Saccharomyces cerevisiae S288C: one gene and its partner. Each later gene encodes a partner of the first gene's protein in a complex. Each region holds a gene or a part of one and is shown in the gene's direction. Other genes may lie near its edges.

Region 1 (4,504 bases):
TTCGCCGTTTCCTCGACCATTTACACACTATGTGGGTCTGTGGGGCTTGCATTAATTATGTGGGCAGTTGGCGCCATTATTGCCATTTCTGGGTTATATGTATACATGGAATTCGGTACGGCTATACCGAAAAATGGTGGTGAAAAAAACTACCTGGAGGCTATTTTCAGGAAACCAAAATTCTTCATTACCTGTATGTATGCTGCGTATATTTTCTTCCTAGGTTGGGCTGCTGGTAATTCCATCAATACAGCTATTATGTTTTTAACTGCTGCTGATACTGAAGTGACCAAATGGAATCAAAGAGGTATTGGTGTGGCCGTCGTTTTTTTTGCATTCCTAATTAATTCTCTGAATGTCAAGATTGGTCTATATTTGCAAAACATTTTAGGTATTTTCAAGATTGGTATTGTCCTCTTCATTTCTATTACCGGTTGGGTTGCCCTTGGCGGTGGTCTCAAAGATGGTTATCAATCTCACAACTTTCGTAATGCTTTTGAAGGTACTGAAACCGCCACTGCTTATGGTATTGTTAACGCCTTATATAGTGTTATTTGGTCGTTTGTCGGTTACTCCAATGTTAACTATGCACTTGGTGAAGTTAAGAACCCTGTGAGAACTTTGAAGATTGCTGGTCCTACATCGATGGTCTTCTTGGCTATAATCTACATTTTTGTGAACATTGCTTACTTCGCTGTGGTTCCAAAAGATAAGTTAATTTCTTCAAAATTGATTTTAGCTGCTGACTTCTTCGATATTGTGTTTGGCGGCCAAGCCAAGAGAGCAGCAGCCGCACTGGTCGGGTTGAGTGCCTTAGGAAATGTTCTTTCTGTCATTTTTTCTCAGGGTAGAATTATTCAACAACTAGGACGTGAAGGTGTGTTGCCCTTTTCTAATTTCTTTGCCTCTTCTAAGCCATTCAACTCCCCAATGGTTGGTTTGTTTCAACATTTTATTGTTTGTACAGTAACCATTTTAGCCCCACCTCCAGGTGATGCATATTTGCTAGTCCAAAATTTAATTTCCTACCCAATGAATATTATTAATTTTGCCATTAGCGCGGGTTTGCTTTGGATATACTGGCAACGTAGACAAGGTAAAATTGAATGGAACCCACCAATTAAGGCCGGTGTTTTTGTTACGGGATTTTTCACATTATCCAATTTATACCTGATTATTGCTCCTTACGTTCCACCTTCAAATGGCGAGTCGGTGTATTCAAGCATGCCATACTGGATCCACTGTGTAATTGCTTGGGGTATTTTCTTCTTTGGTGGTGTTTACTACGTTGTTTGGGCCCAATTATTGCCAAGATGGGGCCACTACAAATTGGTTTCCAAGGATGTGCTTGGTGAAGATGGGTTCTGGAGAGTCAAAATTGCCAAAGTTTATGATGACACTATTGGCGATGTCGATACACAAGAAGACGGCGTTATTGAAACGAATATAATCGAACATTACAAAAGTGAACAAGAAAAATCGCTGTAACCAAAAAGGTACTTACCATCTCATCTCGATTCTTATAATCACGTATGAACATTCTTATAATTGCATTTTCTTTATACAAAATATATAGGTACCAAACCTCATTATAATTTCTGCCATTTAATAGTTTAAGATGCTATTCCGTTTCGTATTTTTTCAATTTTTATACCTACTATTGCGCGAAATCAAAATAGCATACTAAGAAAAAGCAATATCATGAATTGCTGATGAGATAGATTCAAATTGGAATTAACTAAATCTATCAGCAACGCTATAAACACAGATAAGCGCTCTATAAAATCGTTTGTCTAACGTTTTATATAGTTCTTTATTGCTCCCTTACCCTCTTTCCGTCAATAGTGATTGTTGTCTCGGGAAAGCTTTTTTTTTTATTAATCAAAGGCCCAATTGAGTTACAACTGAAATTAAGCTGAGTTGGCGGAACAGTGTGGTATTAGCGAAGGGAAAATCTGTGAAGTGCCCTAGCTACAAAACAGAGATAAAAAAAATTATATTTCAAGCATGGTGGAGCAAGATAATGGGTTTTTACAGAAGCTACTCAAAACACAATACGATGCTGTCTTCCATTTAAAGGATGAAAATGGTATAGAAATATATCCAATATTCAATGTACTGCCACCTAAAAAAGAATATCCAGACTATTACATTATAATAAGGAATCCGATATCTTTAAACACTTTAAAGAAACGATTGCCCCATTATACATCGCCACAAGATTTTGTTAACGATTTTGCGCAAATTCCTTGGAATGCAATGACATACAATGCAAAAGATTCAGTAATTTACAAATATGCCATTCTTCTTGAGTCTTTTATTAAAGGAAAGATCGTGCACAATATAAGAAAACATTATCCCGAGGTGACATATCCATCTCTAGGTCGAATTCCGGAAATATTCGCAGAGAGTATGCAACCCTCCGATTTATCCTCGAACCCCATTAATACACAGGAAAATGATGAAAAGGCTGGCTTAAATCCAGAGATGAAAATGGCTTTCGCAAAACTAGATAGTTCGATCACTGAAAGGAAACCAACCAACCAAGATTACAGGATGCAACAAAAAAACTCACCAGCGTTTCCAACCCATTCTGCTTCTATAACACCGCAGCCGCTGGCTTCACCTACTCCAGTTGTTAACTATGCAAATATTACCTCGGCGCATCCCAAAACCCATGTTAGACGCGGTAGACCACCAGTAATTGATCTACCCTATGTACTGAGGATTAAGAATATCTTGAAGATGATGAGAAGAGAGGTCGACCAAAATAATAAGACGCTTACCCTCTGTTTTGAAAAACTACCAGATAGAAACGAGGAGCCAACCTATTACTCTGTCATAACAGATCCCATTTGTCTAATGGATATTAGGAAAAAGGTTAAGTCCAGAAAATATAGAAATTTCCATACTTTTGAGGAAGACTTTCAATTAATGCTAACAAATTTTAAGCTTTATTATTCTCAAGATCAGAGCAATATAATACGAGCTCAACTATTGGAGAAAAACTTCAATAGATTAGTGCGAATTGAATTATCCAAACCTGATGAAGACTATTTACCTGAAGGTGAATTAAGATATCCTCTAGATGATGTAGAAATCAATGATGAGAAATACCAGATAGGTGATTGGGTTCTTTTACATAATCCAAACGACATCAATAAACCCATTGTTGGCCAGATTTTTAGATTATGGTCTACTACAGATGGAAACAAATGGTTGAATGCTTGCTGGTATTTTAGGCCAGAACAAACCGTTCATCGGGTGGATAGGTTATTCTACAAGAATGAGGTCATGAAAACTGGTCAATATAGAGATCATCCTATTCAGGATATTAAGGGAAAGTGCTACGTTATTCATTTTACCAGATTCCAGCGTGGGGATCCTAGCACGAAAGTCAATGGTCCTCAATTTGTTTGCGAATTCCGTTATAATGAAAGTGATAAGGTTTTCAACAAAATCAGGACTTGGAAAGCTTGCCTGCCGGAAGAACTCCGTGACCAAGATGAGCCTACGATACCTGTTAATGGAAGAAAATTTTTTAAATACCCTTCTCCAATAGCAGATTTGTTACCAGCAAACGCAACTCTAAATGACAAAGTTCCAGAACCCACGGAGGGAGCCCCAACTGCCCCACCTTTGGTAGGCGCTGTATATTTAGGCCCCAAATTAGAGAGGGATGATCTGGGAGAGTATTCAACTTCTGATGACTGCCCTCGATACATAATCAGACCAAATGATCCACCAGAAGAAGGTAAAATAGATTACGAAACAGGAACAATAATTACAGATACCTTAACCACAAGCAGTATGCCCAGAGTGAACAGTTCCTCCACAATACGTTTACCCACTTTAAAGCAGACTAAATCAATTCCCAGCTCCAATTTCAGGTCCTCATCAAATACTCCACTATTGCATCAGAACTTCAATCAGACTTCCAATTTTTTGAAATTAGAAAACATGAATAATAGTTCTCATAATTTACTATCACATCCTTCCGTTCCTAAGTTTCAATCGCCCTCTTTATTAGAACAGAGTAGTCGCTCTAAATACCATAGTGCAAAAAAACAGACACAGCTATCATCAACAGCTCCCAAAAAGCCTGCATCTAAAAGTTTTACATTATCCTCAATGATTAATACCTTAACTGCTCATACCTCGAAGTACAACTTCAACCATATTGTTATTGAAGCCCCGGGTGCATTTGTGGTTCCTGTACCAATGGAAAAAAATATAAGAACCATCCAATCGACAGAACGTTTCAGTAGATCAAATCTAAAAAACGCTCAAAATCTCGGTAATACTGCTATTAATGACATAAATACTGCAAATGAGCAAATAATATGGTTCAAAGGGCCCGGTGTAAAAATCACAGAGAGAGTTATTGATTCCGGAAATGATTTAGTACGGGTACCTTTGAATAGATGGTTCTGTAAAAACAAAAGGAGAAAACTGGATTACGAAGACATTGAAGAAGATGTTATGGAACCACCAAATGACTTCA
Region 2 (4,052 bases), on another chromosome or scaffold:
TCCCCAACAACATCAGTTGCAGCAATTTCTTCATGTTCTGTTTGTTCCCCGTCCTCGTGTACCAGATCAACTACCCAAGAACGTCGCGCATCAGATGGAGGTATGTGTTGGAGAAGGTGTGCGCCATCATTGGCACCATCTTCCTCATGATGGTCACGGCACAGTTCTTCATGCACCCGGTGGCCATGCGCTGTATCCAGTTCCACAACACGCCCACCTTCGGCGGCTGGATCCCCGCCACGCAAGAGTGGTTCCACCTGCTCTTCGACATGATTCCGGGCTTCACTGTTCTGTACATGCTCACGTTTTACATGATATGGGACGCTTTATTGAATTGCGTGGCGGAGTTGACCAGGTTTGCGGACAGATATTTCTACGGCGACTGGTGGAATTGCGTTTCGTTTGAAGAGTTTAGCAGAATCTGGAACGTCCCCGTTCACAAATTTTTACTAAGACACGTGTACCACAGCTCCATGGGCGCATTGCATTTGAGCAAGAGCCAAGCTACATTATTTACTTTTTTCTTGAGTGCCGTGTTCCACGAAATGGCCATGTTCGCCATTTTCAGAAGGGTTAGAGGATATCTGTTCATGTTCCAACTGTCGCAGTTTGTGTGGACTGCTTTGAGCAACACCAAGTTTCTACGGGCAAGACCGCAGTTGTCCAACGTTGTCTTTTCGTTTGGTGTCTGTTCAGGGCCCAGTATCATTATGACGTTGTACCTGACCTTATGAACTGCCACCATACCACGTGTGTCCCTCGCAAGCCCTTGATAGATATACAATAGGGAATGGGCGTCCGCTCCACCGTGGTCAAAGACAGGGGCAAAGAGCTCCTAGGTCTATATATATATCTATATACATATTTATATATATTATTAGAACTTTACAATATAGTATATACCATTCATTGTTTAAGTTTCGGGTAATACTTTTTTTTTCCTTGTCATAACCCCAAAAATTTTCGATGCCTTTGATATAATTGAGAACAAGAAGAGTTTGCAGGTGACAAAAATCGATGATTATAGGTGTTGTGACGACAAAATGAACGCTAATATATGGGTGGCTGCTTCAGATGGTAATTTGGACCGAGTGGAACATATCCTCCGCGAGAGTAAAGGCGCCATGACCCCGCAATCCAAGGACATTAACGGCTACACTCCAATGCATGCTGCCGCCGCATACGGCCACCTGGATTTGCTGAAGAAAATGTGCAATGAGTACAATGGAGACATTAATGTGTTGGACAACGACGGCGATACCCCGTTGCACCATGTGGAGGATGTGGCCACTGCCAGGTTGATCGTGGAAGAGCTGGGTGGAGACTTCACTATCAGGAATGTGGAGGGCCAAACGCCATACGACTCGTTCGTCGAGAACGGTGAAGATGGTGAGCTAATCGAGTACATGAGGATTAAGTCCGGCGTGGCCGATGTTCACGGAGTGGACGGCGTGCAGGGTGAGGGTGTCATCGACAGCAAATTGCTGGAAGAGTTCAAGGACAACGTGAGATACACCTTGGAAAATGACCCTGAGGAAGGAGCCGATGAGGCCACTCTGCAACGCAGGAGGCAGTTGGAACAGATCATTACGGGAGACAACGCTGAGGAGGAGTTGGAAAGGTACATCCGTGCTATGGTCAGAGAGCAGATGCTGGGCCAGGGCTCCATGGCGGGTTCCGGGGACGAACCAGATTCCAAGAGAAGAAAATAACGACCCAGCACAAAGGCTCTTACAGCTTGCTAAAAGAAATTGAACGCGACGCTACATGAACTACTTCTTTCTCTTACATAGTCTTTTCCCTTATGTATCTTTTCTGTACATTAATAGACGTTCTTACAAGGTAAAATTTCACCGCGTTTTTAAATAGAATGAAAAAAACGTTGTAGAGTGAAAGAAAAGCAACAAATATACAGTTCACAAGGCAGCTTCGTATAGTAATACAGCACGAAAAACAGCTCATAGAAATGGTAACACAGACCAATCCGGTCCCTGTTACATATCCAACGGATGCTTATATCCCCACGTATCTGCCCGATGATAAGGTCTCCAATCTGGCAGATTTGAAAAAATTGATAGAAATGGATTCCAGACTAGATTTGTATCTGACAAGAAGGAGGCTGGATACGTCCATCAATTTACCTACAAACACCAAGACCAAGGACCATCCCCCCAATAAAGAGATGCTGAGGATTTACGTCTACAACACTACGGAAAGCAGCCCTCGCAGCGATTCTGGCACCCCAGCGGACTCAGGCAAGACTACATGGACACTGAGAATAGAAGGTAAGCTTCTGCACGAGTCCGCAAACGGAAAGCACCCATTTAGTGAGTTTTTGGAAGGTGTCGCGGTCGACTTTAAAAGACTGAAACCGCTGGGCATGGGCAAGAAGAGGAAACGCGATTCGTCATTGAGCCTTCCTTTGAATCTGCAACAACCCGAATACAATGATCAAGATAGCACCATGGGCGATAACGACAACGGCGAGGATGAGGACAGTGCAGAGGCAGAATCCAGGGAGGAAATTGTAGACGCACTGGAATGGAACTACGATGAAAACAACGTTGTGGAGTTTGATGGTATCGACATCAAGAGGCAAGGCAAGGATAATTTGCGATGCAGTATAACCATCCAGTTGAGGGGTGTCGACGGTGGAAAAGTACAGTACTCGCCCAACTTAGCTACCTTGATAGGTATGCAAACGGGCTCCGTTAATGACGCGGTTTATTCGATCTACAAGTACATTTTGATCAACAATCTGTTTGTTACGGAACAAACAGAGGCTCAAGATGGTTCCAACGATGCCGAAGACAGCAGTAACGAGAATAACAATAAAAACGGTGCTGGTGACGATGATGGCGTCGAGGGAAGTACTCCAAAGGATAAGCCCGAATTGGGTGAAGTGAAGCTAGATTCACTCTTACAAAAGGTATTGGATACAAACGCCGCGCACCTCCCCTTGATGAATGTTGTGCAAACCGTGAACAAACTGGTATCACCCCTACCGCCCATCATCCTAGATTATACAATTGATCTTTCCAAAGATACCACCTATGGTGCTACCACCTTGGATGTAGATGTGTCGCACATTCTCCACCAGCCTCAACCCCAGCCAAATTTACAAAAAGAGGAAGAAACAGATGCTGAAGACACAGCAAAACTACGTGAAATCACAAAGCTTGCCTTGCAGTTGAACTCTAGTGCTCAAAAATACCAGTTTTTCCACGAACTGTCTTTGCATCCAAGAGAAACGCTGACTCACTACTTATGGTCTTCCAAGCAAAACGAGCTTGTGCTGCAGGGCGACCAATACTTCAATGAAGATGCTGCAAGAACGAGTGACATATACAGTAACAACAACAATGACAGGTCACTAATGGGCAATATCTCACTACTGTACTCCCAAGGAAGACTATAACATCACTGTATGATCTCATTCTTTCTGCAATTATTGCACGCCTCCTCGTGAGTAGTGACCGTGCGAACAAAAGAGTCATTACAACGAGGAAATAGAAGAAAATGAAAAATTTTCGACAAAATGTATAGTCATTTCTATCAATAACGTATACACGTTTTTTTAATACTATCTATATTGTGTATCTTATATTTTTCCATTTGGTAGTATAGCAGCAAATATTTGTTCTTAGACGGCCACCATCCCTCACACCAATGCCTAACGCTTCCCAAGTTTACAGATCTACCAGATCCAGCTCTCCAAAGACAATCTCTTTTGAAGAGGCTATCATTCAAGGTCTGGCCACTGACGGTGGTCTTTTCATTCCACCAACTATTCCACAAGTGGACCAAGCCACTCTTTTCAATGATTGGTCAAAGCTCTCCTTCCAAGACTTAGCCTTTGCTATCATGAGACTATACATTGCCCAAGAAGAGATTCCAGATGCTGATCTAAAGGACTTGATCAAGAGATCTTATTCTACTTTCCGTTCTGATGAAGTCACCCCCTTGGTGCAAAACGTCACTGGTGACAAGGAGAATTTGCACATTTTAGAATTATTCCACGGTCCTACCTACGCTTTCAAAGACGTTGCTTT

Evidence for each region.
Region 2: RSC1 (region 1) and RSC6 share a complex: the UniProt entries of both Saccharomyces cerevisiae proteins name them as parts of the two forms of the RSC complex.

Annotation. Positions count from the first base shown.
Region 1 is NC_001139.9:599,654-604,157, forward strand, and holds the start of RSC1 (RSC subunit protein RSC1), read left to right. Parts: upstream 1-2,007; coding exon 2,008-4,504. Other genes in the region: MUP1 (Mup1p), read left to right, coding at 1-1,488. UniProt on the Saccharomyces cerevisiae protein: Component of the chromatin structure remodeling complex (RSC), which is involved in transcription regulation and nucleosome positioning. RSC is responsible for the transfer of a histone octamer from a nucleosome core particle to naked DNA.
Region 2 is NC_001135.5:213,028-217,079, forward strand, and holds RSC6 (Rsc6p), read left to right. Parts: upstream 1-1,966; coding exon 1,967-3,418; downstream 3,419-4,052. Other genes in the region: ARE1 (sterol acyltransferase), read left to right, coding at 1-734; YCR050C (uncharacterized protein), read right to left, coding at 437-745; YCR051W (uncharacterized protein), read left to right, coding at 1,044-1,712; threonine synthase THR4, read left to right, coding at 3,670-4,052. UniProt on the Saccharomyces cerevisiae protein: Component of the chromatin structure-remodeling complex (RSC), which is involved in transcription regulation and nucleosome positioning. RSC is responsible for the transfer of a histone octamer from a nucleosome core particle to naked DNA.